Schizosaccharomyces pombe: one gene and its partner. The protein of the gene in region 2 interacts with the protein of the main gene of each other region in a pairwise test. Each region holds a gene or a part of one and is shown on either strand. Other genes may lie near its edges.

Region 1 (5,030 bases), on a different chromosome or scaffold from region 2:
CGTTTCATATGAATATGAAAAGGCGTCATCTATTTCCTTTAAATGCATTTTCTACACGTCCGAGATGAAATTTAAGTCAAATTGACAATACAATTTCCATGTTGAAAAAAATAACAATAGGCAATCCTAAAGAACAACGACAAAACGTAAAAGAAGGATAATTTTGTTCGCTCAAACTGACCGAGAAAAAGTTAAAGTGTTGATGAAGAAAGTATGAAGAAAACTATATACAAAATAAAAGTCGAAAAAAAAAAGAGATGCAACATGTTGTGAGTAAATGATCACATAAGAAGTACAGACATTACAGTAAAGTTAAACGAATCCTTAATTTAAAAAGACAAGCATCCCTCAAACTCAACTCAGACGTAACGTTCACTTGAACGATCACTCAACCCCAAAGAGGTAAGACTACGTTCGACGAAGATACCTAACTTTTTATAAGCTTGTCGAAGTACATTCGACGTCCGACGAGATGATCCAGAAGAATAAGCATCAGGGGACGAGGAAGACGGGGTTGTAATGGTAGGAAGTGTATTGTCAGCAGCGGTAAAGGAAACAAAAATACCAATAGGAACAGACCATACGCATACCCCCATAAATGAAGCAACTTGTGAAAAGGAAGCACGAGAGGTCAAAAGGCGTTGACCAACAAAATCGTAAGTGAGTCCACGAGGTTTAATAGGGAATTCATGCACCTGGAAAAAGCGGACCCATAAGATATGATTCGCGACAATAAGGAAACATGCTAGCAAAAATCTCATTCTCTTAAATGAGAAGAAAGGAAAGGTATCAAAGTTGATTTTATAAATGTAATGACTGAAAATGGAGAATGCCGAGAGCCAAAAAGGAAAACCATCAAATATAACCAAAAACACCATTACCGCCATAATAAAATAAACCAACCGACATAAAAACGCCTTTGCGAGCCTAGAGTGCTCTTCTACAAACTCTGAAATGTAATACAAAGCTGATGCGATACTCACGGTCATGCCTATGAATCCCAAAACGATACCCAAGTACGACAGAGCATTAAGGACAATCATTTTGAAAAACGCTTTTAATTATGTCGTATCTAATAATCTTAACAAATGTGATTTTCTTTGGACTTCTTCAATATAGATAAATATGTTCGGATTTGTCGAATAAATACGGTTTTAATGCACAGCACCGCTTACAAAGCTTCTGCCTAAAGGTTTTAGCAATTTCTTAAGTTGCAAGGCACAATAAAAATATCAATTTCTATATTTTGTAGTATTGGTTGGTATGGGAAGACAGCAAAACCATGGCTGGTACTCCTGAATATCACTACGACCTTAAACAGAAAGCAAACTGTATGCTAATAATTGTAAATTTGAAAGTTGAATTTTCTTATTCCAATTAAAATGATTAATATGTATACTAAGTCTGCTATTTAGAGACGAGCATAACGGTGGTTTTTAGTTTTGGTGAGTGGCAATCGTGTACCTACATTACGGTGCCTAAATGTTTAGTTATATAGATTATAAATATATTTATATAGTAAAACCTTTCAATTAATTTTTATTCTTTAACGTAGTCAGATGATAGCACGTGTACTGACTTAAGGTTTCAAAAAAACTATTAATACCCATACATATTGGTATCAAAATTAACTAAAAAATAATTTTAAATTGTTTAAATGACTTTTTATCCTTGTTAAAAATTGTTTTCGTTGACATATCTAATTTGCTGAGGGGTTAAAAAGGGCAGTCCCATCGTGTATTTGGTAGCATTTAATGGCCAACTTAACCTAACCTCAACCAAACACTTCAACTCAGAAATACAAAAAATATTATGAGCGACAATGTACAGCAACAAGTAGATTCAGTTGGTTCTGTGACTGAAAAATTGCAAAAAACAAACATCAGCAGACCTAGGAAGTATATTCCTCCTTTTGCTAGGGATAAGCCAAGCGCTGGCGCAGCTCCAGCTGTTGGCGACGATGAGTCTGTCTCATCTCGTGGCTCTTCTAGGTCTCAAACTCCTAGTGAGTTTTCCTCTAACTATGGAGGTCGCCGTGAATACAATCGTGGCGGTCATTATGGTGGTGGCGAGGGCCGCCAAAATAATTACCGTGGCGGTCGTGAAGGTGGTTACAGCAACGGCGGTGGTTATCGTAACAACCGTGGATTTGGCCAATGGAGAGATGGTCAACACGTTATCGGAGCCCGTAACACTCTTTTGGAGCGTCAATTATTTGGTGCCGTTGCTGATGGTACCAAAGTTTCAACTGGTATTAACTTCGAAAAGTATGATGACATCCCTGTTGAAGTTTCCGGTGGAGATATCGAGCCTGTTAATGAGTTCACTTCTCCTCCTTTGAACTCTCATCTTCTTCAAAACATTAAACTCTCTGGCTACACTCAGCCCACCCCAGTTCAAAAGAACTCCATTCCTATTGTCACATCCGGACGTGATTTGATGGCCTGTGCCCAAACCGGTTCCGGTAAGACTGCTGGTTTCTTATTCCCTATTCTTTCTCTTGCTTTCGATAAAGGACCTGCCGCTGTTCCTGTTGATCAGGATGCCGGTATGGGTTATCGTCCTCGCAAAGCCTATCCTACCACCCTTATTTTGGCTCCCACTCGTGAATTAGTTTGTCAAATTCATGAGGAATCTCGTAAATTCTGTTACCGTTCTTGGGTGCGTCCCTGTGCTGTTTACGGTGGTGCCGATATTCGTGCTCAAATCCGCCAAATTGACCAAGGTTGCGACTTGCTTTCTGCTACTCCTGGTCGTTTGGTTGATTTAATCGATCGTGGTCGTATTTCTTTGGCCAACATTAAGTTTTTGGTGTTGGATGAAGCTGATCGTATGCTGGATATGGGTTTCGAGCCTCAAATTCGTCACATTGTGGAAGGTGCTGACATGACAAGCGTTGAAGAACGTCAAACTCTCATGTTTTCTGCCACTTTCCCCCGTGATATCCAACTTTTAGCTCGTGACTTTTTAAAGGATTATGTCTTCTTGAGTGTTGGTCGTGTCGGTTCCACTTCGGAGAATATTACTCAAAAGGTCGTACACGTTGAAGATTCTGAAAAGCGTAGTTACTTGCTTGATATTCTTCACACCTTACCTCCTGAGGGTCTTACCTTGATCTTTGTAGAGACTAAACGCATGGCTGACACACTTACCGACTATTTGTTGAATAGCAACTTCCCCGCAACAAGCATTCACGGTGACCGTACCCAACGTGAGCGTGAGCGCGCTTTGGAATTGTTCCGCTCTGGCCGTACTTCCATTATGGTCGCTACTGCCGTCGCCAGTCGTGGTTTAGATATTCCCAATGTCACGCATGTTATTAACTACGATTTACCTACTGACATTGATGACTATGTGCATAGAATTGGTCGTACCGGTCGTGCTGGTAACACTGGTCAAGCTGTTGCGTTTTTCAACCGTAACAACAAGGGTATCGCTAAGGAATTGATTGAGTTGTTGCAAGAGGCCAATCAAGAGTGCCCCAGCTTTTTGATCGCCATGGCTCGTGAAAGCAGCTTTGGTGGTAATGGACGTGGTGGCCGTTACAGTGGTCGTGGTGGTCGTGGAGGCAATGCTTATGGTGCTCGCGACTTCCGTCGCCCTACTAATAGTAGTAGTGGTTATAGCTCTGGCCCTAGCTACTCTGGATACGGTGGCTTTGAAAGCCGTACTCCTCATCATGGTAACACTTACAACAGTGGTAGTGCTCAATCCTGGTGGTAAATTTCCTAAAAAAATATTTTTATTGGGTTACGTGCATCTGTGTTATGCACAGGCTTCTGATGATTTCCTTTAGTCAGAGGCCGAAGTATTGTGTCCATTGTTTTGCTGACATTTGCAAAGCGCGAGGATGTCAGAAAGGGCGAAATATTTGGCTTTAATTAACTGTGATTGAGTGAGTTGCACGAAACGTCTTTTGTTTAGGTCCGGTTTTTTTCATTTTTAAGCTGGGCTTGGACGGATGCTCATTGGGTGTGCTTTTTAATCGTTGCGGTTGTGGAAGCGTTATGTAAAAACGATCCGGCAAAATTTAGTATGCGGTGTTGTGTTTTATTGCATAATAAGATGAGGCGAAAGTTTCAGAAGTCAATGCGTGCATGATTTATTCACGGGACTTTTTAAATAGAATATGCATATTTGAAACATTTGCATTGACGAAATGGATGTACGAATACGACGGGCATACAAAATGACATATATTATACATATTTTATATATATCTATTGATATGTTGAAAATTTCTACAGGCTTTGAGCTCATGATTTTAAAAATCAATGATGGATCTTTTTTTACGAGTCTGTGTTTCTTTTTTTCGAGAGAACTTGGAAATAGGTTAGTGTCTCTCTTTTGTTGGATTGTGGTTCTTGGGTAATATTTCTTTAGGAAAAGGTTTACGATTCTGCAATTTGTAATAATAGGATGCGCGCTAGAGCAAATTAATAAATTTTATTGCAATAATAAACTATACACATGTTATTAGGCAAATTAGTTATTAGTAAAATTAAGGAATGTAATTAGTGATATGTACAGTCAGAAATACTAGAAATATATACGAAAGATTAAGTAACGCAGCTACAATGATCACTGATACAGAAAGTATTTAAGGGTCTAGTTGGACTAGACAATTGTTTATTTATTGTGTCGCAGTAGTCACAATCAAAAGAAATAATTAAATAAAAAATTAGAAATAAATGGTGAACCACTTGGACCTATATGCTTTGACGACATACATATTAATAAGTGAGGACAATGTCAAGGGTAACTTAAGTAAATGTTGAAGAAAAATGCTTGATGATTATGTTTTTACGTTCTCAATTAAATAAGTAACTTTTCAATTAATTGAAAAACGAATATTAATGAGTAACCATGACTAGGATTAAAAGAATAAACAACCATACTTAAACTTAGTATTCAATAGATTGTTGAGATTAAAGAGAACAAAAATTAAGGAAACAGATCACAGCACAATTTCATCAAAAAATTGCAATTTTTCTTCGTTTTTCTTTATGTTTTTATATAATATAAAAAAT
Region 2 (3,036 bases):
GTTTGAGGGGCTGACGACCCTCCTAATCTGCTTAGTAAAGCAGTTTTGAGTAATAAAAAAGAGAATTTATGTCAAGCAAGAACAAACCAGTTTAATGGATTAGGATATAAGAGTGCTCGATGGCAAAACATTTATCGAAAAAATTATGTAGGAATCCAAAAAACCTGCAAATCCAGCGTCCTCCAGCTCAGATCAGCGCTAAAATATGTAAAGTTTTTGAAAAATGAAATGTTGTCATCCACTGAAACACTTTCTAATTGATCTTTGGTACTTTAAATCAAAACCAAAGACAACGTTAAAAAATATACAATGTAACCAAGGATGAAAAGAAAAAAGTTTGAAGTTGAAGGTTTAAATGGACAAGATGAGGTTTGAAGTTATAAGTTAAAGTAGACAGCTTCATGTTCGAATAGTCTAGATATACATTTGCAGAGATAAGCTTAAACAGATCTGAAAAAATTTGTCCCGAGTAGATGCGTTTGAATACATATTTGATGTGTTTGAACGAAATATAAGAATAGTTCTCAATTAAATAAAATATTAATGATATACGTTTAAACGGTTTGAGAGCCAAATGATCTGTTTCAGAACTCTTCGTTCATCTTATCGAATGCAGAAAAGCTAAATGAAAACGACTGCGTCACGTTTAACCATTTTTTTTAAAAGTGAGAAACTTTTTAAATTAAACTGTGAAAGGGAAATTTCGCTTAATAAACTAAAAGTTATCAACGATTATACAAAGAGTTTTTTTCCAATACCAAAGTACTTTCATTAACTGTACTAAGTCGTGATTCTAATTTACTCCTGAGAGCGAACCTTAGCACCGGCATTGGTGACCTTTACACCGAGAGCACGAGCCTTTTCAACAATTTCAACACGCTTACGAGCAGAGACGTTACCAGCAATCTCAGCAGCATAAGTCTTGTTATGCATCAACAAGAGCTCAACATCTGAAACGTTACGGACTAGGAAAGCCTTCAATCCATTAGGCATGCAGTATCTGGTCTTCTTGTTATTTCCATAACCAATCTTGGGCATGGAAATGGTGCCACGGAAACGACGACGAACACAACTATCAATACCTCTGGGCTTTCTCCATGATTCTCCAACACGCTTGAAGCGGTCAGACTGATGGCGCTTGAAGGGCTTGGTGCGCTTCTTGATGATATTGACAGCAGCCATTTCTGTTGTGTGGGTGGAAAAGTTAGCACTTGTGTTGTGAGTGTGTTTTGGAACGAACGTGACTGCTTTTTATGGGGATGGTAGCTGAGTTTTCATTTTTTGCGCTATAGTTCCCAGATTTGACATGTTGAAAAAGAAGTTAATAATATCTCTATTTAAATGATCAATAACATTATAAAACTAATCATTCTTCATTTTCATTTCTGTAATATCCCGTATTTAGCTTTGCATATCAAACTGATTGCTTTTCTTCAATGTTTCCTCCGTAACGCGAAATTGTTTCACTACCTTTAAATACCGAGCTTTTTGTAAGATACGCAAAACATACTTAACAAATTGAAAAATAACGCACACATCCCTCTACTTTGATAATAAACTTAAAAATGTATGCGCTACATATCGATATAATATTTAACGGTTTCCTCAAGCGACTTCAATTTCCGATCCACGTGGCCGTTAATCCCTAAACTTGTTTAGTCAAGCGACTACCGCTCTCGCTGATCACTGACATAGCGTGTACCTTCCCGCCTCTTCCCGCTCAGTTGGATTTCTTCGTTACACCAGCTTTATTTTACACAGTTTCCTTTCTCCTCCCTCCTCTCCGTTTCTGCAATTTCCTTACCTTTTCATTAAAGGAAAAACGACAAACTTATAGTAATCTCTATGTGTTTACATACTTGATGAACCCGTTGTTTCCTTTTTCCTTGCTTAATCCATCAACGATGTGGTCGTCCTCGCAAAACACTTCATTCGTTTGGGTGGTGATAGCGACAGGTTTCCTTTTTCATTTGGTTCTTTTTGTACTGTCATACGTGCTGGGATGGCCCTTTACAAATTTTGGATTCTTCTCCGTGTATGGCCTACGACACACGTTCCGTAATGGAGACTCGGTTTTCATCTCGTATGTGGCACTTCGTCTGCATCGTCCTTCTACTTCCAAGCCCTATTTACTGCGCATTGTAACCAAAGGCTTGATTTATACTCCATCACTTTCCAGTGCTAATGATGCACAATCGGCTGGTAAGAATGAGAACCAAAGATCTCGATTGGTGTTTAAAGCAAAGCGTGAGGAAGAAAAAACGGAGGAGAAATTTTGTCATGCCGTTTACATGTCTAACTTACTTCGCAATGTGGAGCAAAAATGGATTCAGTTTCTTCACAAATCTTGGATGAAATGGCTTCACATTAGTATCCAAGAATCTCAATTGACATTTCCCTCTGTAGGAACATTCGAGTTGGGCAGTCTTTCGATGGAAATGCGTCCTGAAACCAATAATGTCGTTGGATATGAAAATCCGTCTGATCCCGAACTTGTATCCTCCTGCGTAATTTGTAGCATTCGCTTGGCAAACCTGGTTTACATTGACCGCCGGCAGAGCAGTCAACAGATTACCGATTATTTGGACTTAAGCTTACAAACCTATTACTCTTTAGATAAATCAAACGTTCCTGACACGATTCTGCGTCTTCGTTCTTCCATCAAAGTGGGTGTGTTATATATAGATCTAGATACTCCACTTTTTGAGCATTTGTTAAATTCAAATTCTTCCGGAGGAAATCATTCTTCCTCCTCCTCCTCCTCTGGAAAAGTTCATGTGATGAAGGATAATGTTGAAGCGGCCTTATTAAAGTTACAGGAAGCTCAAATCCAGATCGGTACATTGAAGCTTTGGAAGAGAAATGTAACGGGATGTGGAGCCACCTATATCTTAAATGGTAGTGATTTTGGACTGAATTTGATTTTACTGAACAAAAAGAATCCTTCCCACAGAATGTTTTTCCCCGTAGAGGCATGTGTTCATCAAATTTTAGCCTCTGCTTTGTCTTTCAACGTCGAAAGTATCACTCCTGGCC

The links. The genes of interacting proteins can lie anywhere in the genome.
Region 1: the proteins of rpl3202 (region 2) and sum3 interact in binary tests that used the Schizosaccharomyces pombe proteins (3 or more experiments, as listed by UniProt).

The regions. Positions count from the first base shown.
Region 1 is NC_003421.2:973,454-978,483, reverse strand, and holds sum3 (translation initiation RNA helicase Sum3), read left to right. Parts: upstream 1-1,770; 5' UTR 1,771-1,812; coding exon 1,813-3,723; 3' UTR 3,724-4,485; downstream 4,486-5,030. Other genes in the region: protein SVP26, read right to left, coding at 360-1,043. UniProt on the Schizosaccharomyces pombe protein: ATP-binding RNA helicase involved in translation initiation. Remodels RNA in response to ADP and ATP concentrations by facilitating disruption, but also formation of RNA duplexes. Inactivation of ded1 blocks mitotic cell cycle progression at G1 and G2/M.
Region 2 is NC_003424.3:3,414,860-3,417,895, forward strand, and holds rpl3202 (60S ribosomal protein eL32), read right to left. Parts: upstream 1,198-3,036; 5' UTR 1,183-1,197; coding exon 799-1,182; 3' UTR 549-798; downstream 1-548. Other genes in the region: protein hob2, read left to right, coding at 1,863-3,036.